Linked DNA regions of Lepisosteus oculatus. The protein of the gene in region 2 interacts with the protein of the main gene of each other region in a biochemical or structural test. Links are inferred from orthologs where the notes say so. Each region holds a gene or a part of one and is shown on either strand. Other genes may lie near its edges.

Region 1 (7,718 bases), on a different chromosome or scaffold from region 2:
CCCGGCGACGGAGGCCAGCTCGGGAAGGCTCAGGAAGGAGAAACAGAAGGCGAAAGAAAACGAAACAGCCAACTATCTTTCCCCCCGACCAGGACCATGGAATATTGGTTCCCACTTACCTCCAAGCAATCCTTCTTCTTGTGCGTCATCGCCCCACAGTTCTCGCATGCCCCTTTCCGATACTTCGTGGTAACAGGTTTCTACGCCAAAAGAAAAAACACTCACAAATGCTGTATACCATCCCTCACACAGCAAAAACATTTTTCAGTCTTATGATAATAAATGGCCTGACTGAAGATTACAAGACAAGTAGTGCTTGAGCAGTAAAATGTTCTAATAGACCATTTTGTTTCAGCTTAACAAGCCAAGCGTCCCAATTCTGTACTTTTCTTTGCCTAATGCCTAAGACATCAGTTATAAACACTACATTTATCATTCCCCAGAAATTCTCTCTTTTGCCACTCCCTTAAATGTGATAGTTCTGCCCCCCTTCATTTTTATAAGGCTTGGCACCTCAGTAGCTGTCTGAACTATTATCGCCCTACTCCCCACCTCGCAACCTTCGCTCTTCTAATTCTGCTCTCCTAACTGTCCCCCAAGCCCGTCTACACTCTAGGGGTGGCAGGGCCTTCTCCTGTTATGCCCCAAGGCTCTGGAACTGTCTCCCCAAGGATATCAGAGAGTCACCTTCTCTGAACTCCTTCAAATCCAGGCTCAAAACCCTCTTCTTCAGAAAAGCCTTTACTGAACTGGTTGCATTCTTCACCCCTCTGCTTTTCTTAGTACCACCATCCACGGTCTCCTCTATATATTGTAATTGTGTTTCATCTTGTGTATTCTTCTTATTTATTGTTGTTGTCATCCTGTAAAGCGCTTTGAGAAACCACCTTTAAAGGCGCTACATAAAATAACGTTTATTATTATTATTATTTTTTTAATGTGACTTTTCAGAAAACAGTGAATCACATTCTCGCCTGGGGCAAATACCTACGGGAAAGAAGGCTCGTGTGATTTGAGGGGATGGGCTACCTACAGAGCAGCACCCCAGCGCCGCGCTGAGCACTCACCTCCTGCACGCCCCGCTTGTACCAGTCCCCGATGGCCGTGTACTGCGGCTGCTTCTCCTCCTGTGGCCTCTGGTGCCTGAGGGTCGGCCTCTTGGAGGGGTCGATGTACCAAGGCACGGAGGAGATGTACTGAGGAATGTGCGGGTTGATGTCCCTAGAAAAAGAATGAAAGGTCAGCAATTTCATTTAGACCAACGTTGCAAACCTGTAATGGTGCGACGCGATGCTCAAGAGCCGTGTCTTGATCACATATATGCTAAGTATAAAAATTTCACAAAGATGGCAGAGGATACCAAAGCCATGGGCTGGAGATGTGAAGATCTTTGTTCTAAAAAAAAAACACCTGGAAAGTTACTAGAACTGGTATCAAGAAGGAAAAGGCAACATATCTAAGCAATGGAAGTCACGAACTTCCACTGACTATCCTCTGCACAAAACCCCTCATCGGTATTTTGTAGGTTAGTATCAGCAGGGGCATATGTAATGAATTCATATTTAAAGTTAAACAGGTTTACAGCCAGCCAATCTGGTCCTGGAGGGCTGGTGTGTTGTAGGTTGTCATTCTAATTTAGTGTTTAAGAGCTAAGCCAGGAACCATCTGGTTTAACTAGACTAATTTCACAGCATCTCCCAGCTCTTCTTGAGCTGCGGATATAAAGAGCCCTTAGCTTACACACAAAATCCTACAGCATGCATCTTGCGGCACCCCCTCAAAAAAAACTCTTGTTCTCCTGTCGCTTGGCTTTCCCCAAAGGATGCCCAGCAGCACATCAATGCTTTTGGATTTCGGCTCCAAATTTCCACCCTTTATTTGACAGTTTGTAAGGTTTTGGCCTGCGTGACGTACTTCCCCTCTTCGTCCACCTCGGCTGGGGCATTTCCCAGCTTCCTCTGCTCCTCTAGCTCCTTCTTCTTCCTCCAGTCCTCCCTGGTCATCTTCTTGGGCTCCTCCAGCCCCACCACCCCCTCAGTCCCTGCTGACATGGCTCTTCTGTTTCAGCGCCACCTGCAGGAGGAGGGTGGGAGAGACTGGATTATTCAATTCAATTCAACCTTTCAAGTCCCACTGGGGAAATTAGTTTTACCCCACACTCCAACATAACACAAGGACAGACAAAATTTTACCAACCAAGAAGTGGTGGTTGTTACGGCAAGACAGTTACGATATTAGATATTTCAGTGGGGTTGAAAGATTTCCTGTGTCTATGAGTATTACAACTGGGGACACAATCCATAATACACTTTGCTTTCTTTGCATTACAAAGCATTTCTTTGCACGCTTTGCTTGTAGAGGATATGTGAGGTGAGCTGATTTCCTCCAATTAATTTGCTATTTATTTGGACTAGGCTGGGAAAACTATTACAATCAATGGTACTCATTTCAACACTAGCAAGTGAGATAGTATGCCAAGACACTTTTAATAAAAGACTTGTAGAAATTGTTAGGATGGTCCTATCTATCTAGAAATTTCTTAGTTTTTCTTAGCAAACGTCTTTGTTGTACTTTTTATAAACGGTTTCACAGCATTTGTCCCAACTCAGGTTCTTGTCTATGACCACCCCCAGTACTTGTTAGTCAGTGACGATTCCTGCAGTCTGACCATTAATTACTGTAGGTTGGAGAGATGTTGCATTATTCTGAAAATCAATGACCAGCTCCTTTCGTTTTGACAACATTTAAGTGCAAACTCGTTACACCATTTAGTACAGTCATTTAGAACGGGTCCATAATGGTTTTCTGAGTCCCCTAATAACCCAACCAGGACTTTATCGATGAGATATGTATTTGTGCGTTTGCTTTTACAATCGTTAGTATACAAAATATACAGAAGTTCAAGTAGGTAGCAGTGTCAGCATACGTAGACTGCAAAGGAACGGGTACAGGTTTATTCCTGGTAAAAAGAGACAACGTTTCGGCTGTGGAGCTTTTACCAGCTGTAACAAAACACAGCCATGTAGAAATATAGCAAATGTCAGATAACCAGTTCCCCAATTTGACCTACTGAGTCCCGTGAACGAAGTCGCAGAGCGAGAGAGATGATAATTTCCTTTGCAGTATTCGAAGAGAAAGGGAGGGGACTTGGGAGATGAACAAGAGGCCGAGAAAGACAAATACAGAAACAGACTGTTCATAAACCAGCCTCCTCTCCGTCTTCTGGGCAGAAACTGGAGAAGCTCCGAGGTTTGAAACCAGCTACTTCCCCGGCTAACAGGGGGAAACACGTGTTCTGTAGCGATACTGGAATTTAACAGTTACAGGAAAGTTATCTTCGAATACTGCAAAACAAACGACGTACTTCCAAATGCCATAGATTTACATTAAATTCACAAGCGTTCATCCATAACAAACTGGCCTTCCGTCTACAGCTACACAACCGTTGTGCGTAAACGACCTGGGGAAGCGCATTCAAATGAAACACATGACGTTATGACGCGAAATCCGCGTAAAACATGACGTGTAAGATACATAATAAGTAGAAATATGTCTTACCGAACTCGACTGACAATATATTTTGAGGTCAGTTTATCGTCTCCTAGTGTCGTATTTACAGTCCACCGCACAACGCCGCCATATTCCCAGGATACCCTGCGCGCTGACGTCATTCAAAGGGGGGCGTCTGCGTGGTGGTGCTTTAAAGTTTGTTCAGCAGTAACACAAAAATATACATTTTTAAATTTTTTAATTAAATTCTATAAATACTCCTACACTTATCGTGAAAATCTGTATTTGACTTATTCTATTTTTAATGTCTTAGTGGCAAAATCTGCAAATGAAGCACCTATAGTGCTGGAGGATTTAAACTAAACCGTAGTGATAATGTTAGTAATACCCGCAACTTTATTGGTAACTTTAATACTGTTTCCGGCGGCTTCGCCACCATCGGTGTGCTATCAGAATGCCCACTGGCCTCCTTGCGTTGATTTTAACTTTAAGAGATGAAACCCGAGTGAGATCCGCCGGCTGTTTAAAACCGCTCATCCGACGGTTACCAAACTGTTGCGTCAGTAAGGGCTCCCGGTCCCCCGGTTTCGCTGTCTGGAAAGAGCCGTATACTCCCGTCTTAACTGCTCGTTTGACTCAATTAAAGTTATACCATAGTTCTTGAATGTTTACATCTTTCTAATCTGCTCTTTTCACCACTTCGTTGTTATTACAGGTTCATAATTACTGCCCAGTGATTTAGAATTTTAAAAATAAATGGAGTGATTTTTATACTGTCCGCAACCCAGCTGTTAATGGATCTGAGGACCATTCCGCTATTCAAGCGGGTCCTGATTTACACGGTGATTTAAGAAATTATTTCCTGCGCCAGTCGATAAAAGTGATAAAGCAGTGTGTCGCACCAGGAATTACACCGGTAGGAGAACAGTCGGCTGGGCGATGATGAACTGCACTGGAGCCAATAGCCCGGGCGTCTACCCCTCCGTCAGGTTTCACTAAGATGACAAGCGGAGGCGCTGGCTTGCACCGAGCAAGTTGTGTGAAAGCAATAAAAAAGCGGCGATATGAAAACAGCCTCAGTCGGTCGCGTTACACACCCGGTCCGCAAGGGGGCGGTGCGGACAGTCGTCACTTCCTCGAAACAGCTGCATCCTCGTGCTCCCCGGAGAGCCAATGGGAGCGCGGATTATTGTTTAAAACGAGAGCCCACGGAGAGTGGCGCTTGTGTGGTGAAGCTTTGAATTTAGTACGCTGGTAAGTAACGCAGTGGGGAGGAGGGGGGTTTAAAAATGTTCTCTGTAATGAAATCGAAACGTTTTTGCAGTATTGGAGCAAAAAATAAAGCTGCAATACGTCCTTATGAGGCGGGTAGTAGCAAAGGTATAGTTTTATAGATATAGTCCACAGCCGAAACGTCGAGTTTCCTTTCTTCCCTGTTAAGCGTGGAATAAACATTTAACTTGTTCCTTTGCCGCGTACGCATGGTGACGTACGCAGCTACATTCTTGAACTACATAAGATTAGTTTTTTTTTTATCCATTACCCCACGTGGGACGTTCTTTTGGAATCGCTTGTTTTAAGTGTCCTACCTGTTAATACTCGTCTTGTTGTTGTGCACTACAGATTCGTTTTTTTTTCTTTTCTTCAGAGATGTCCCTGGCGATTTATACCGACAAGGAAAACGGCTCCCTCTCGACGCCCGCTCCCGCGAAGAACCGGGTGAGGCTACAGTCTGCTCCAGGTGAGACCCCCGCTCCGCTGTCGGGCCCTCCCGTGTTATTCATTGCGCATCGATTTCGATTGATAGACTACGAGGGTAACTAATTAGAAGAAGGGTACTTGGTTTCAGAGCGTCGCTACGGCGATATTCTTTTCCGAGCCACATCAGCGGAGGTATCGTTACCTGCTGAATAGTGCTGGGATGAATACAGGACCATTGCCAATGTGTCCTTTGTAAAACGAAATGACTAACAGTGGTGCTGAAATTAATTCTTTGTTAATAAACCCACTCCATGGCTGTATCTTTTGAAGTGCATCTCTTTCATAAAGCCTAGATTGCTGTAATGTCTCATTTACTGCATCCATGTCTTGGCTTATTTGGAGAAGTGGCTGGATGAGATCCCTTTAACCAATTCAATATGAGGTATCCTGGCCAAATGTCCCATTGGCCTTGACCAATCATGGCCCCCTTATAATCCCCATATCTGAGCTGGTTTAATCACTCTGTTCTCCTCCCCACTCAGAGCTGGTGTGTAGGGAGGGTACTGGAGCATCATCCAGGTGGGGCTGCACACTGGTGGTGGTGGTGGAGGGGATCCCTATTACCTGTAAAGCGTCTTGAGTAGTGTCCAGAGAAGTGCTATATTAGTGTAAGGGATTATCATGAAGTCTGTGGCATACTAGCTTCTCTGTTGGCAGATCTGCTCGCTGACAGATGCCTGAAGACGCCTCACACTGGGAAGCTCCTGACCGGCGCCCCCATGCTCTCGGCTCGGAAGACAGTCAATGCGCTTGGCTCAGTTCCCTCCCTGCCCCTTCTTGTCCGGAAGAAGGAGCCACGTGTGGGTTCGACTAAGGTACACTTACCAGGCAGCTTGCAGTGCCAGTAGGATACTTCACTCCTGCTCTAACCTGGAGTCCATCGACAAACCTGACACTGCTCTTGTGCCTGATATCTTAAACAAGTCTTGGACTCTTCAGCCTAGGTTCTGGATCAGATGGCTACTGATCAATTAAAGGAACCATAGTCCTTAAGGACTGAAAGCTCTTTAGAAAAGATCTTAAGAGCTCCAGTCTATGTGACTTGACAAATTACCTCCCTAATTGACCACTTCATAAATTTTAAAGGTTGTGTATAAAATTTGGTGCTGTGACTGGGTCCTGCTCACTATTAACTGCAACGAGACACGTACTGTAATGTTCAAGTTGAGCTGCAAACATTTCACCTCAGAAATGTTCTAATGTGTTTTGCATGCAGGGTTGGCAAAACTATCTTGAAGCCAAGAGCAATATTTCTATTGGATTAAAAGAGATGTATTCACAAGCCTGTTTGTTTACAATGTAAAAGGGTGGCTTCACCTCACCAGGAGTTGTTGCCTCGTTTGAATCGCAGTTACTGTGTACATTTTACTGTTGCAGTTTGAAATACACTTCTCCATGCGGATTCTTTCTAGCCCCAAAATATAAAAAGTGTTGCAGTTCCCCTTTAATGAAGACTCCGGTTGCCGCTCAAACCCAGCACTGCCTTTGATGGCATGGCCCAGCCTGCTAAGGACTCGTATCCTGTGGAAAGCACTGGTCACCTGCATTAGGAATCCTACTGATGCTTCACATGGGTCGAAGCCTCTGGCTGGTGTTTGGGTTTCAGTTGAATTAATCAAGCCGTTTGCCTGGCCCCCCAGCTGAAAGAAGAGGTGAAGGCCTGCCCCCGACAGGTGAAGAAAGAGGAGTACCCCGAGGTGGAGAAGATGATTCCCTATAACCCACTGGGTAGGTCCCCTTCCTGTGTGTTTTGAGAGGGGGGGGGGGGCTATGAAGGGATATGTGCCAGATAGCTTCTTCCTGAACCCCCCTAGTTGAACACCTGTTCCTGAACTCGGTAAGTCTGTTCCATCTGTTTAAGTACCTGTACATGACTGTTGTTGCTTGGGTTCCTGCCTACTCGCTCTCTGGGGCTGATGGTCCTGGTCTCCCATCAGAGTTTGAGAGCTTCGATGTGCCCGAGGAGCAGCGCCTGAGCCACCTGTGCCTGGCAGGGCTGGCAGTGCCGCCCACTGTGGAAGAGGAGGATGACTTTCACTTGTTGGATGTCTGTATGCAGCTGTCGCCTCTGACCTTACCAAAAGGTGTGTGTGTGGGGGGGGGGGGGGGGGGGTAGGGGTGGTGTTTTGTAGAGTGGGGAATCTGCCACCCTCTTGCAGAAACCAGTGCCGTAGGTTTTGAAGTGAGCAAACCCCGTTTGATTTAAAATGGTGAACAGGGCTGGCTGTTGACCAGATTGCATGCTGTCAGCCCATGAGCAGGTGTAATCCACCTGTTTAAGTGTTTTGCCTCCTGCACAATTAAGACTCCAGTTCACAAGACTAGATATGCAACTGGCTTTGCTGCAGGTGCTGATCTAGTGAGTGACCTATGGTCAATGACCTGACCTCTTTAAACTGTAGTCAAGCTGTAATAACTGGAAGTGATAAACCTTATTGTGCACTGCT
Region 2 (7,889 bases):
CAGAGCTGTGGGGCGTTCTTTCCGTCACCTCGCCGTGAGACGTCCTGCCGCTCCTGTCCTTGTTTTTCCCTGGTGGTTGATGGTGTGGTCGGCACCAGGGGGTTCATTCCCATTTCCAGCCCCTCAGGCCACACCAGCAGTGTCCAGCAGAGGAGTAGACCCTGTGCTGCCTGGACTCAGGAACTGTCCATTGCAAGAATGAGAAAGGACCCCCGGCTCCGACCTCTGGTCCGCTCTGTGGGCGTCTTCGGCTTGATGGAGACACTCCTTTGCCACACAGCTGCTAACTGTCTCTGTCTTTTCGAAATGATTATTTTGTGAGGATGAGTGGATTTGGCACTGTGGAGGGAGGTCTAGAGGTGGGCTAAGGGGGAGATCCTCAGGTCTCTGTGCTGCAGATTCCACCACCCGTTTCTTCCGTTTTGAAAGTGCAGCTCCAGCGAGAGACGGCATGGATGAAGGAAAGAGGAATTATTTCTGTTTAGTTTCCTCTTAAACTGTGTTCTGGAAATTACGCTGGATGTTTTTTGGAGAAAGAGGACAGGGAGCAAATTCGGTTTTAGAGCGAAAGGCTCTGATAGGCAGCTCCAGAGTGGGAGACTGTAGGAGAACCAAGCGAGAGACTGAGATATAAGGAGAGGATTCAGTTGTGAGAGTGGTTCTCTGGGCTTCGGCTGCTCTGTAACCTATCAATAATGATGATGACTGCATGCCTGGCATCTCTTGTAAAGGATATAGAAGAGCACAATACGTTCTCAATTTCAGCAACAAGATCAGACCTTTCCACGGGAGGGCAGTGTTTCCTCATTTCCTGTTATGATCATCATCATTAATGGTTCTCTCAGGGGTGGGTACCTCCAGTCCTGGGCATCTGCATTTGTTTCTGCTTTTCATTCCATTTTCCATTCCATCGACTTTAATGACTAAACTGAACTAATTAAGTGGCTATGAAGTCAAATGCAAAGACGTTTTGCAGGTCTAACCAGGTGCTAATTGAGAGGTAACTCTAAAAAGGGCCAGAGCCTGGCGCTGCAGGACAGGAGCTGCCCGCCCCTGCCCGTTCACCGCCTGCTCAGTGTCGTCTGCATGCCTTCTGTTCTCACGGTGGAATTCCTCCAGTTACTTGATGTTAAAGGAGCAAGAGGGAACGGATAAGAATTTTTTTTATTTTTTCATTTGCACTGTCATTGCTTTGTTTGCACTTATTGTGGGAGGAGATGCATCCAGCTGGCTGGGGGGTGGAGAGCTGCAGCCTCTGAGCCCCCAGACCACGGCAGTGGGCTTGCAGACAGGGAGGGACTGGGGCTTTTAGAAGAGGCTGGTGAGTATTATTGTCAATGCAGGTTTTTAACTCCAGGATACTACGATTCATAGAGTTTTTAAGTTCTTTCAAATTAAAAAAAATTCTCACTTTCCTGCTCCATTCCCAATTTCCTCTAGTTACTGTTCACAGGTCCTGATTAAGCACATTAGTCTCAAGCACTCCTGCTACACGAGCTGCTGTAGCAAACCCAGCACAGTAGGTGTTCTGTAAACTCATGCTCATGTCGGATTAAGAGCAAGCCCCTGTGTTTAATGAGCAATAAGCAGTGGCTGCCTTTATCAACTAGAAACTCTTAGAGGTGTCCTCCCAAGTGAGCAGTGGAGAGTGACGGAAATCACAGGACACAGCCATGCGCCCTGCAGCCCCTGGAGACCAGGGACTGACCTGCTGCAGAGAGGCTCACTGAGGGCCAGAGCTCTAGCCCACTGTCCACTCTTGCGCCAGAGAAACTTACCTGTATGTTAAAATAGAAACTGTCACGTCTTATTTCTTTGTATTCTTTTGATCTATGGCATTGGAAAAAAATTAATTGTATCATTTCTACCCAAACAACTTAAAAAATGTTCGTCAGACAACACAAATGCAAATAAAAACTAGATTAAACAAATTGTTTTTCTGGAGTCTCTTGATTGCAGTGGGTTTCTGTCTCCTAAGATGGCAGTATAAAAAACTGTCCCTTAGCTACACCCTGCATGCTTTTCAAAAGTGTCTGTTTACCACGCTGTACGTGTATGATGGTGCAGTTAAATTATACATTTCAACTTGGTGTATTTTTTAGTTTGTTTGTCCTGGGAAAACTGGCCCTGGTGTGATTTGACATATTTGTGGGTGTGGGAGCCCTGCGATGGACTGGTGGTCGCATCCAGGGTGTACCCTACCTTGTGCTGGATAGTGTCCAGCTCCCCTGAGACACTGAAGTGGATGATCGGCATATTTTTAAAAAACAAAGGCTGCTGCAGCTTCTGTAGAAGTATTTATTAAAATCTATATATTTTATTTTAGAAAAGAAATACAAAAGATTGGTGCATGAAACTCAGAACAGTTTGATTGCAACTACAGATGATCTACAGTCTCTCTGTCAGCACGGAGGCCACAGCAGGGGCATTTCCAGACTCGCGGGAGCCCAGTACGGGCTCTGGTGCTGCAGGGCTCGACTCTCTCCTCTGGGGGGCTGGGTGGTGGCATCAGTGGTCCTTGTGTGCCTTCCGTGGGTCAGCAGCTTTGCCCAGGTTCCCTGCCTCCCTCTTCAGCACACTCAGAAGAGTCTGGGAGCTCTCCAGGATCTGGCCATTGCAGAGAGAAGGGGTAAGGAGGAGAGAGAGGAGTTCTGTTAGCCAAGACAGTTTTCATGAAATCTTCTTTGTTTCAACTCTTCTTTACGTGGAGAGTTGGGAGAACTTTGAGCCTGCCTACTCATCCCTGATATGGGAGTTGATCCCACAGGACCCTTCGGGGAAACAGTTTGATGAGACTCTGTGATTAACTAAGTGAGTCAACTGGAATCTTCTGAACTGGCTCCTCTCTTTAAAAATCTTTCAGATGTTCTCCTAAGATTAAACATGCTGAACCAGCACATACTGAAAAGAGAGTTTTCTTTTTCCTCAAAAATAAAGCTGGGAAAAAAGCTGGACACAGTGGAGCAATTAAGGAGTAGATGGGGGCTGTCATGCTGAAGAGCTCGGAGCCAGGGTACTCCAGGGAGTACAGGCACAGCGGCTCATTAGTGTTATTTTTTCATTAGAGAGATTGGGGGGTGTTAGTCTTTACACATTCCAGAGGGAGCTGGAGTACATGTCCAGGAGAACACTACCCCCCATGCAAAAACAGCAGTTATGCAAGGACATGCTGGATGCCTTTAATGCAGGGTTTACTTAAGTAGTACTGGGACTTCACAAGCACCATGCAACCACAGTGTAGAGACGCATACTGAGACTTTGCCTGATGTCTAGGATGAAGTTTGTAGGGAACAGTATCATTCTTTTATTTGATATGCTGTAGGTGTTAGAGTGTGCAGTGTATGCAGTTGAGATAGTGCGGGATGCAATGTGTGTAGATGTGTAGATGTAGTACTTAGACGTAATGGGATCCAGCACCAGTATGGCCAGCAGAGAAGTTCTCACCTTCATGTACGCGGCCTCAGTCTCAGCGATGGTGCGGTCAAAGTCATTGCGTGAGGCCAGCTTGCGCGCCAGGCTCTCATTGACACGGCTCAACTTCTCGGTCAGGATGCGGATGTCATTCTGGAGCCGAACCTTCTCCTCCTCTTCCTGCTCGATCTGTCTGTTCAGTTCATCCCTCTTCGCACACAGCTCCTCGATACCTGCGCAGCACAGTAACACAGCTCCTCAAGCACCATTCCAACGAGAACCTACAATGGGTTCAGTCAGTGTTTTAACAGGAGCAATTTCAAGTTAAGAAAACACTGAAAAAAAGGAAAAAGCCTTCTTCGTTTGCAGCTTGCACACTGATGCAGCTATATAGTACTAGTGTATTGTCGTGTCAATACATCCACTGCTGACACTGTCCCTCAGCGTGCCAGCCCAGGCCTGATGACTGCTGCTGTATTTGTGCAGTTCTACCCACCCAAAGCTCTGGGGGCCGGGGAGGTGTCATGGAGGAAGAATCACCATCTCTGCTGGAGGAGTGGACAGTCTCTGAGGTCACAAAACTGGAGGAGGAAGGGATTCTCACCCCAGCTGATCATCAGTCATTTTAATTAGAGTTAACTAAATCAGCGGAGCTGGGCACTCGAGGCATACCGTGGAATACAATGACATCACTTGTGTAATCCCACCTGGGATGTGACTTCAGGGCAGAATTCTGATTTATTGTTTGCCACTGAATGCACAGAAAACAAATTTAATAGGATTTTTGTTCTCCTGCTTGTTTGTAGTGCCTCCCAGCTACACACCCTATGTAAACACACAGCCCCCTTTCAAATCTCTGCCCACACCAGTACCAATTCCGCTCACATACAGTTCAATGACAAAGACCTACTTTGAAGCCAGATACAGTAATGAGTCCAGACATCCCTTACAGCCCACAGACACTTCACAACAGGATCGGTCCAGAGAGTCGAGCTGAGCCCGGGAGACCACAGGACTCGAACTACCCCAGCAAAAGACCCTCTCTAATCGGATTCCCACTAACCTCCTGGAAGGCTGTCTTCACTGTGCCTAATCCCGACACTCACTGCTCACTGTGAGCGCGGCCCTATGCACATCGACGGTACAGCAGTTTCAACAGTAGCTTGGAAACGCTCGATGAAAAACAGAAACAATTGCATTCAACTCAAAAATGCTAAAATCTTCAGCTATAACAAGAAGCAATCTCCCACACATTCACGCCTCTGCATCCTCCGCTGATTTCGCATTGTGTTCAGAAAACACACAAGCCGTGCCGTTATTTGACACAGGACAGCCTCCAGCTGCGGAGGCGATAGCAAAAGTATTTTATTTCTCGATTTTAAGCAGCACGAATTGCCTGCTATGCTGGACATCAGGCTATCACACCGTATTTGTTTCGCTATGGGTCTCAGTCTGACGGCTCGAGAGGATCTCTCCCGCCTCGGGTCACTCACACTTGACCAGCTCGTTGTTGTAGGTCTGCAGCGCCGCTCCCTGCTGGCTCATCCTGCCGGCTCGGCGGGACTCCTGCACGCACTGCCCGGGATGGGCCTCGGCTCCACCCGCCTCTTCGAGACGAATCTCCTTTGCTGGCACGCAGATGAGGCTCGGTCGCAGTGCCCACTTGTCAGTTCAGCTACCCTCTCCCCTGCGTTCCCGTTTCCCCTCTGTCTTCCCTGCGGAGCTGTTGTGCGGCGCTGCCCTCCTCTTCCGGTCAGTTTCCAGGGCAACTGCCTAGCGCAGCTAAACGGCCGCTCTGCTTCCGCCACACTCTACAACGCTCTCTTATTTAATGCTTCTTCTTCGCCTTGCTTTTATCGTGCAGTGTCGGTGATGAGCCGTTTCATATCCACACGGAAGGTTTACGATCTCGTTATTAGACTTAGACGTCTGTTATTAGGGGCATAGCTAACAAAATGGTGGTGACGTCATTACAGTGCGCCGCAGCCGAGCGGGAGAATGCGGTTGGGTAAAAAAATTGTACCCTGGTTTTATAGTTAGAAATATAACGTCTTTGTCTGCATGGGGTGTACATATTCAAGACAGTAATTTGAGGCTGTAGCTCCTTTCTGAGTGGGCAGTTCCAGGAGCTGACCAGGAAAGAGCGGCACCGGAACCACTCGAAGGGCTCAGAACAAGAAACCTGTTACTGATTCGGCTCCAAAAATTATAACAATCGGCGCTTTTCAGGTAAGTCGGCGACGAAACAATTTTGGGCAAAGTTCAGAGTCCAAAGAAGCTTTTGCAGGAAAGACCAGGGTGCGCGGCTGTTGAAGGAGTGTCGGGCAGTGTCTTGAGCAGATTCCCTTACCTACAGTACGACACTGCAGTGTCAGATTCGTTCGGATACTTTAACACAGAAACAAACAATACATAATAATATGTCAGTAGCTGTGGCTTATCAAAATAGGTCCCTCAATGACGTGTATCTTGGATAATGTATCAGGTTGATTTCCGGAGGAAAGGCTGATGTACTATAGGAGCGTAATTGAGAATTCATTATCATGGAATCCCCATGTTCCAGTTAAGCCGTGACAGACCTGTCACAATCCCGAGATAAGGCGTGACAGTAAGCTCTCTGGAGGCCGTGAGCACAGGACCCTGAGGGTCCTGGGGTGTTGTGCGCACTGTGACAGCTGGGCTTCCTCATGCCGGGGTGTGTTATAACATGGGGGGCTTCAAAGTCTCAGGCTTCAGGGGAAGGTTTGCGCCTCATTATCTGAAAGCCCCCTGAAAAGAAGCCCCTTCTTTACCGGGTGGGAGGGACCAGAACTAAAGTAGCTTTCCTGCTCGTGTGAGCAGGTACTGAGCCAGCAAACTGTAGCAGCTGCTCCTCTCTCTGACAGCCCGTCCCGCCTGGGGGAGCTATGGACGTGGCCCCGCTGGCCGCCGCCTGGGACAGCGTGACCTCCGTGCTGGTGAGTGGAGTCGCCCGAGGAGGGGGCAGGGCCAGGGGGTGGCACCCTTTATCCTGCTTTTCTGCTGTTCCTAACTGAGCCAGGAAGGGCATTTTCCTGCTCGAATTTTAACAAGTCTCCCTCTTCCTTCCGCCTCCCCACCCCCTTCCTCCCCCAGGTGTCCCCGGGGCCAGAACCCCCCCCTGAAGAGCCTGTGTCCCAGGCCCTGGCGGTGCTGTGCTCCTGGGGGCTCGGCGGCAGCCTGGAGGCCTGGCTCCTGGAGGCCCTGCAGACGCGGCTGCAGGCGGCCGTGGCCCCCGAGTTCTGGGCTGGGCTGGACCAGCCGGAGAACGGGCTGAGTGAGAGGGAGCGGGCCGCGCTGCTTCTGGGTGCCTTCCGGACTCTGCTGAGCCGCCTGGAGCCCTTCCTGAGGGGGCTGGGGTTGCTGGGGGCCTGGCAGGACGAGGGCCGGGGGGGCCTGAGCGGCCCCGGGGCGCAGGGCCTGAGGGACCGGGCCTTCGCGCTGATCCGGGCCATCCTGCTCTTCTCCCCCGGCGGGGTGCTGCAGGAGCGCGTGCTGGAGTTCTACAGCCGCACCTTCGCCGCTCACATGAGCCGCGAGGAAGGGCAGGACGGGGAGCCAGAGGAGGCCGAGGGCCCCCTGGGGGACGAGGGGGGGCGGTGTCCCGGCTGCAGTATCCCCCCGGAGGAGTGCTGGTGCGAGGAGGCCCTGGAGCAGCTGAGCGAGCTGAGCCACATCCTGTGAGTGAGGGGCCGCGGCGGCGGGGGGGGGGGTGTGCGGAGATGCGCGGCCATGCTGACTCTCTGGCCCCTCGCAGCTCCAGGCTGCAGCTCCAGGAGAGAGTCAGCGCCGAGTCGGTGACGTCCATCCTGCACCAGCTGATTGAGCAGCGCATGGAGCGCCGCTGCCGGGGCGAGTACGAGAGCTCCTTCATCAGCGACTTCCAGCAGGTACTGCCCCCCTCCCTCTGGCCCTCCCGCTGTGTTGCTCCTGGGGAGTTGATCATCTGCCTTGCTCACACTGAATCCCACACACGACAGGCTCAGCAGTCCTGTCTCTGTCTCTGTCACATAGTGAATACAAACAAAAACATGACCACGGCTCTTTATTTTCATTCAGTCTCTCCACTGTCACTACCAGTGTGGTGGGAGATGAGGCCAGGTTGTTGCTTAAGGATTAGAAGAATCTGGGCAACACAGATCACAGAGCGCGAGGTGTGCTGGTTCGGCCGGTCAGCCCTGTCTCCTCTCCCCCAGTGGCTGGAGCGGGTGCTGGGCTGGCTGGGCCGGGTGTTTGCCAGCGCCGGGGGGCCGGGCAGTGCCGCCTTGCAGCGATGGCGCTGCCACATGCACCAGTTCTTCTGCCGGCTGTACGTCAGCATGAGGATCGAGGAGCTGTTCAGCATCATCCGAGGTGAGACGGGAGGCCCAGGGTGGGAGGAGTGTGAGAGAGCTGAGATAGACTCGTGGAGATGGGGGGCTGTGTTTTGTGGTACTAACTAATACACCTAATGTCCCTTC
Region 3 (7,058 bases), on a different chromosome or scaffold from region 2:
ACACAGCCTGTGTCTCTCCTGTCTCTCTCACACAGTCTGTCTCTCCCACACAGTCTGTCTCTCTCACACAGTCTGTGTCTCTCCTGTCTCTCTCACACAGTCTGTCTCTCTCACACAGTCTGTGTCTCTCCTGTCTCTCTCACACAGCCTGTCTCTCCTGTCTCTCTCACACAGCCTGTGTCTCTCCTGTCTCTCTCACACAGTCTGTCTCTCTCACACAGTCTGTGTCTCTCCTGTCTCTCTCACACAGCCTGTCTCTCCTGTCTCTCTCACACAGCCTGTGTCTCTCCTGTCTCTCCCACACAGCCTGTGTCTCTCCTGTCTCTCTCACACAGTCTGTCTCTCCCACACAGTCTGTCTCTCTCACACAGTCTGTGTCTCTCCTGTCTCTCTCACACAGCCTGTCTCTCCTGTCTCTCTCACACAGTCTGTCTCTCTCACACAGTCTGTGTCTCTCCTGTCTCTCTCACACAGCCTGTCTCTCCTGTCTCTCTCACACAGCCTGTGTCTCTCCTGTCTCTCTCACACAGTCTGTCTCTCTCACACAGCCTGTGTCTCTCCTGTCTCTCTCACACAGTCTGTGTCTCTCCTGTCTCTCTCACACAGCCTGTGTCTCTCCTGTCTCTCTCACACAGTCTGTCTCTCTCACACAGCCTGTGTCTCTCCTGTCTCTCCCACACAGTCTGTGTCTCAGAAGGGGACCCGGTCCGATACAGTCCTTCCGAGCTGGGCTTGCGGACACGGCGTGCGCGGGGAAACAGCGCCGTCTAGTGGCGCCGGGCTGACACGACCCCTCCGAGTGTCGAGGCGCTGAATCCTGAGTTGAACTCGGCTTCGCCCTCGCCGGCAGATTATAGGGAAAGGTGCCGCCGGGCCGCAGACGGGGGGGGGATACTGCATTTTCCCACACTCCCAGGACTCCCATCCTGCTGCTTCCCAGAGGATACCAGTGAAAGAGCTTCGACGACAGCGCTGGGCAGTGCGTTCCACACCCCCGCCACTCATTGCGCAAAGAAAGCAGCAAGGGGACAGCGGACCCCTACCCTGCTCCACACACCCCAGTCCTGCTGTAACAGGATACCACTCCCCCGAGCGCAGCCGGCATCGCAGGGAAACTGGAGGAGAGCACTGGGCTCTAGGACTCAGTTCTGGACACAGCTGGGCTCAGGGGCTCAGTTCTGGGCACTGCTGGGCTCCGGGGCTCAGTTCTGGGCACAGCTGGGATCCGGGGCTCAGTTCTGGACACAGCTGGGCTCCGGGGCTCAGTTCTGGGCACTGCTGGGCTCTGGGGCTCAGTTCTTGGTACAGCTGGGCTCTGAGGCTCAGTTCTGGGCACAGCTGGGCTCCAGGGCTCAGTTCTGGACACAACTGGGCTCAGGGGCTCAGTTCTGGGCACTGCTGGTCACTGAGAGAGTTCTGGACACAGTTGGGCTCTGAGGCTCAGTTCTGGGCACTGCTGGGCTCCGGGGCTCAGTTCTGGGCACTGCTGGGCTCTGAGAGAGTTCTGGGCACTGCTGGGCTCAGGGGCTCAGTTCTGGGCACAACTGGGCTCTGGGGCTCAGTTCTGAACACTGCTGGGCTCTGGGGCTCAGTTCCGGGCACTGCTGGGCTCTGAGAGAGTTCTGGGCACTGCTGGGATCTGGGGCTCAGTTCTGGGCACTGCTGGGCTCAGGGGCTCAGTTCTGAACACTGCTGGGCTCTGGGGCTAAGTTCCAGGCACTGCTGGGCTCTGAGAGAGTTCTGGGCACTGCTGGGCTCAGGGGCTCAGTTCTTGGCACTGCTGGGCTCTGGGGCTCAGTTCTGTGTACTGCTGGGCTCTGAGAGAGTTCTGGGAACTGCTGGGATCTGGGGCTCAGTTCTGGGCACTGCTGGGCTCTGGGGCTCAGTTCTGTGTACTGCTGGGCTCTGAGAGAGTTCTGGGAACTGCTGGGCTCTGGGGCTCAGTTCTGTGTACTGCTGGGCTCTGAGAGAGTTCTGGGCACTGCTGGGATCTGGGGCTCAGTTCTGGGCACTGCTGGGCTCAGGGGCTCAGTTCTGAACACTGCTGGGCTCTGGGGCTCAGTTCCGGGCACTGCTGGGCTCTGAGAGAGTTCTGGGCACTGCTGGGCTCAGGGGCTCAGTTCTGGGCACTGCTGGGCTCTGGGGCTCAGTTCTGTGTACTGCTGGGCTCTGAGAGAGTTCTGGGAACTGCTGGGCTCTGGGGCTCAGTTCTGGACACAGCTGGGCTCCGGGGCTCAGTTCTGGGCACTGCTGGGCTCCGGGGTTCACAGCAGGGGCTGGGGAAGGCGGGGATCCCCGATACTCAGCAGGGGATTGGGGACACCGGACCCTGAACTGGGATCACTACTACCCTCGGGCTGTGTAAAACACAGATTCCTATTTATGATGTTAACGCCCAAAATTGGGCAGCCTGTTATAATTGTTCATAAAGCAATTCTGAACCGTATTCTACCACCTAATGTTGTTACACCTTTTAACGAACTTCATTCCTAGTCATTATGGTACAGAGATCTCATTTACCTGAAGTTAGACCACTCGTTTTTGAGATAAAATGAGCCCAATTAACGTGTTATTCTGACTACAGTATAGACCAGAGAAATACACGGTAGAGTGCTTATCACAGACTGGTGTGTTAAAGTTTAGCCAAGATACTCGTTTGGAAACCATTTTAAATGTTGCAGTGGTGCCACATAATCACACCTGCTGTGTTTCCGGATCAAAACCGACCAAACGATTTCATCTACAAAGACAGAGTATAAGAAAGTATGTTCGAGTGACCATTTGCTTGGCAAACATCACAAATTCAATCAGGTTCTAAGATAAAACGCACAGCCCCGTGTGTGTGAATTCTGCATCTTTATTATCGTCTCACCCAGTCATTTCCTACGGTCGCCCAGATCTGACCGGGGACATTACAGATGAACAAAATCTGAATAAACCACCTAACATTCAATTAAACTACTTATCGTTAACTCCATGTCTTCAAATGTTACCAAGCTTTATGGCGGTCAGATGACAGAAACCATATATATAAGAAAATAGCAAACCGGTCACGTTTGTCCGGAACTGAACTAAACCTGCTCAGAGCTCTGGAGACCCGCGATAATAATAATATTAATAATAATAATAATAATAATTGCTTACACTTATATAGCGCTTTTCTGGACACTCCACTCAAAGCGCTTTACAGGTAATGGGGATCCCCTCCACCACCACCACCGATAGGCGCAGCTAAATCAAATAGAGGTGCATTTTCTATAATAAAAAGTAGGTTTTCACGAATCCTCGGGCTTCCAAGCAGCAATTATAAAAAACTAAGAAGGTGGACATTTTGACAGCAACCACGTTTTAATATTCATCGTAGGTTTATGAGCAGACGTCTGCCGCCCAGGTGCGGACTTACGTCCATTTTAATACCCTCCTCCGTGCCTCGGCTTTAGCAGAGACAAACTATGTGGCAAAAATGAACATTTCCACACAAAAAAACAACCATAAATGAACACATTTAGCTCCTAAAACCGTAAAGCATAACAGCCATGGCTGAAGACCAGCAGCGCTCTAACAGGAATGTCGTCACTTAGCAAACTTCCGCCCCCTACGTCCCGGCACTCAAACAGACGCCGAGCCAATCACGGCGTACGGCGTACCTAATTCTTCTCTTATTGGATCAAACTAATGTCACTCCCGACGCTCCCCATCTTGATTTGCTTTCATTGCCGTCAATCAAGTACGCCGTTTACCCAGTGGGCGGTGTCGCCCCCCTCCCCGGAGAAAGAGGGGTAGGCACTAATTATTCAAACGGACCAATCAGAGTAAAGCATTTTCCACTCGCTCGACTGGCATTGGTCGAGACGGTTGCCGGGTGGCATGACGGGGAGCGGCCTCCGGCGGGCGATTGGCTCAGAGCGTTGCGGGTGGAAGTGACGTCAGGCGCTCCTCGTTTTCCGATTGGCTGGGCGGGCGGGATTTTTACTGTTTTTTTTGTATTTGTGTTCCTGTGCGTCCGCCCGTCGGAAAGAGAATTCGGCGCAGCATCCGTCCAGGGAGGGTATTAAAAATATAATAAATAATTTTATAAATATATTTGCAGCAGGAGCGTCGGAATCGGGGCCCGGAGTCGAGGAGGCGCTTAAATAAGGTGGGCCGCGGGTCCTTGTTGACGAGCGGGAGGTGAAATTATAAAACAAACCTGGAAATATATTTAGAATTTTTTTTATTATCATTTTTTTTTTTCTCGCCGGAGATCCTGTCCCTCTCTCGCCGAGGGGGCTGAACTTTAAAAAGAGCTGTCCTGGCCGAGATCTCTCTCTGCCCCCCTCCCCTCTCCTCTCGCTCTCCAGAAGCGCCCCGACCCCAGCGGTACCGGACCGGACCCAGACATGGTGAGTGAGCGCTGCGCCTCTCTCCCTCTTTAAATCGCCTCGGTCAGTACAAACACGCTGTTCGGCACAAGGTTCGGCCCCGGAGCCCTAACCGCTGGCTAGAAAGTCCACGGAGCCGCCGGGTCTGGACCCGCGGCCGGGCGGTACCGCTCGCCTCCCTCCAGCGAGCTGTTGCTGGAGTAAAAAGTACCCTTCTGCGAGAAGGCACGGTGATCAGGCGAGTGTGCGCCGCCTGCGGGTCCCGGGCCCGGTTCCGCGCGTCTCCCCGGGGTCTCTGCCCTCCTGGTCCGGTTCCGCTCGGCTGCGGCCCGGGACTGGAGCAGGCGCACACCGCTGCCGTAGATCGCGGCATGTGTCGCGCTGGGCTTCCGCCTCGCAGCGGCCCGGCCCGGCCCGGCCCGCCCGGTCGCTAGTAGGTGATTGATCCCGGTTTCTCATCCCGCTGTTGCCGGAAGGAAACCAGCGAATCCTGGTTAGCTTGTTCCCTCCTCCCACCACCCTCGGGGTACAGAAGCACCTCGTGCTCTCGGTTTTAAACGCTTTTCCGCACAGTTTCCACTCGTGTCACTCGGAAGACTCTGCTCCCGCCCTCGAGGAGTTTAATGATAATAATAATTACACTGATGTAGCCCTGTTCTGGACACTCCACTCAGAGCTCCCCTCCACCACCAGCAGGGTGTACCCCACCTGCACGATCTCCAGTCCGCTCCCACACTCCAGCTCTCAGTGGGGAGGAGAGCAGAGTGATGAGGCCAGTTCAGAGAGGGGGGTTATTAGGAGGCCATGACTGGTAAAGACCAGGGGGAAATTTGGCCAGGACACTGGGGTAACACCCCTACTCCTCTCGAGAGACGCCCTGGGATTGTTCATGACCACAGAGAGTCAGGACATCGGTTTGACGTCTCATCCGAAGGACGGCGCCTGTTTCCAGTCTAGTGTCCCCGTCACTGTACTGGGTGAGCGCCCCCTGCTGGCCCCACTGACGCCTCTGTCCCAGGAGTCTCCCTGCAGGTCCTGGCCAGGCTCCCCCTGCTGGGTACTTGTATCAGGTCCTCTTGTAGTGTTCAAGACTGAAGAGACACAGCTCCTCCAGCCTGAGTGGCCAGCAGTGGCCGTGGCCAGCGGTGTGCGGTCAGGCGTGGCCGTGGCCAGCGGTGTGCGGTCAGGCGTGGCCGTGGCCAGCGGTGTCCGGTCAGGCGTGGCCGTGGCCAGCGGTGTCCGGTCAGGCGTGGCCGTGGCCAGCGGTGTCCGGTCAGGCGTGGCCAGCGGTGTCCGGTCAGGCGTGGCCGTGGCCAGCGGTGTCCGGTCAGGCGTGGCCGTGGCCAGCGGTGTCCGGTCAGGCGTGGCCGTGGCCAGCGGTGTCCGGTCAGGCGTGGCTGTGGCCAGCGGTGTGTGACGTGATCCCCTCTCTCTTGTCCAGAACTCCAATGTGGAGAACCTGCCCCCCCAGGTCCTGCGGCTGGTTTACAAGGAGGTCAGCGCGCTGGCTGCTGACCCGCCAGAGGGCATCAAGATCTACCCCAGCGAGGAAGACATCACGGAGCTGCACACTGCCATCGAGGGGCCAGGTACACTGACCACTGACCACTGACCCCAGCCCCTGGCACACTGACCACTGACCCCAGCCCCAGCTCCAGGCACACTGACCCAGACTGACCAGTGTCCCCAGCCCCTGGCGCACTGACCACTGACCCAGACTGACCAGTGTCCCCAGCCCCTGGCGCACTGACCACTGACCCAGACTGACCAGTGTCCCCACCCCCTGGCGCACTGACCCAGACTGACCAGTGTCCCCACCCCCTGGCGCACTGACCCAGACTGACCAGTGTCCCCAGCCCCTGGCGCACTGACCACTGACCCAGACTGACCAGTGTCCCCAGCCCCTGGCGCACTGACCCAGACTGACCAGTGTCCCCAGCCCCTGGCACACTGACCACTGACCCAGACTGACCAGTGTCCCCAGCCCCTGGTGCACTGACCACTGACCCAGACTGACCAGTGTCCCCAGCCCCTGGTGCACTGACCACTGACCCAGACTGACCAGTGTCCCCAGCCCCAGCTCCAGGCGCACTGACCCAGACTGACCAGTGTCCCCAGCCCCAGCTCCAGGCGCACTGACCCAGACTGACCAGTGTCCCCAGCCCCTGGCACACTGACCACTGACCCAGACTGACCAGTGTCCCCAGCCCCTGGCGCACTGACCACTGACCCAGACTGACCAGTGTCCCCAGCCCCTGGCGCACTGACCCGTGTCCAGTGAGCAGGCGGGCTGGACCGCCCCCCTGCAGGCGGTGCTTGTGCTGACCCCTGACCCCTCTCTGCCCCCAGAGGGAACCCCGTTCGCGGGCGGCCTGTTCCACATGCGCCTGGTCCTGGGGAAGGACTTCCCTGCGGCGCCGCCCAAGGGCTACTTCCTGACCAAGATCTTCCACCCCAACGTGGGGCACAAGGGCGAGATCTGCGTCAACGTGCTGAAGAGGGACTGGCGGGCCGAGCTGGGGCTGAGACACGTGCTGCTGGTGAGGTCCGGGAGGGCTCGGGGAAGGTTCCGAGCGGCGCTCTTGTGCTCACGCGCTGTCCTGAGGAAGTGGAGAGGCACGCCCGCGCACGCCGAGACATATTTTAATACTATTCTAGATGATAATAATAATAATAATAATAATTGCTTACACTTAT

Evidence for each region.
Region 1: the proteins of anapc2 (region 2) and pttg1 form a complex in vitro, tested with the Homo sapiens proteins (2 studies listed by BioGRID, with this or other methods). The link is inferred for Lepisosteus oculatus from reciprocal best matches to the Homo sapiens genes ANAPC2 and PTTG1.
Region 3: the proteins of anapc2 (region 2) and ube2s form a complex in vitro, tested with the Homo sapiens proteins (3 studies listed by BioGRID and IntAct). The link is inferred for Lepisosteus oculatus from reciprocal best matches to the Homo sapiens genes ANAPC2 and UBE2S.

The regions. Positions count from the first base shown.
Region 1 is NC_090706.1:28,924,866-28,932,583, reverse strand, and holds the start of pttg1 (securin), read left to right. Parts: upstream 1-4,657; 5' UTR 4,658-4,764; intron 4,765-5,158; 5' UTR 5,159-5,160; coding exon 5,161-5,251; intron 5,252-5,928; coding exon 5,929-6,086; intron 6,087-6,911; coding exon 6,912-6,999; intron 7,000-7,208; coding exon 7,209-7,355; intron 7,356-7,718. Other genes in the region: pre-mRNA-splicing factor SLU7, read right to left, coding at 120-200, 1,068-1,221, 1,915-2,051. UniProt on the Homo sapiens protein: Regulatory protein, which plays a central role in chromosome stability, in the p53/TP53 pathway, and DNA repair. Probably acts by blocking the action of key proteins.
Region 2 is NC_090719.1:331,131-339,019, forward strand, and holds the start of anapc2 (anaphase-promoting complex subunit 2), read left to right. Parts: upstream 1-4,836; 5' UTR 4,837-4,851; coding exon 4,852-5,163; exon of another isoform or gene 5,164-5,640; intron 5,641-6,296; coding exon 6,297-6,368; intron 6,369-6,525; coding exon 6,526-7,109; intron 7,110-7,186; coding exon 7,187-7,319; intron 7,320-7,625; coding exon 7,626-7,782; intron 7,783-7,889. UniProt on the Homo sapiens protein: Together with the RING-H2 protein ANAPC11, constitutes the catalytic component of the anaphase promoting complex/cyclosome (APC/C), a cell cycle-regulated E3 ubiquitin ligase that controls progression through mitosis and the G1 phase of the cell cycle.
Region 3 is NC_090718.1:812,381-819,438, forward strand, and holds the start of ube2s (ubiquitin-conjugating enzyme E2 S), read left to right. Parts: upstream 1-3,991; 5' UTR 3,992-4,138; exon of another isoform or gene 4,139-4,243; 5' UTR 4,244-4,379; coding exon 4,380-4,382; intron 4,383-5,802; coding exon 5,803-5,950; intron 5,951-6,710; coding exon 6,711-6,901; intron 6,902-7,058. UniProt on the Homo sapiens protein: Accepts ubiquitin from the E1 complex and catalyzes its covalent attachment to other proteins. Catalyzes 'Lys-11'-linked polyubiquitination.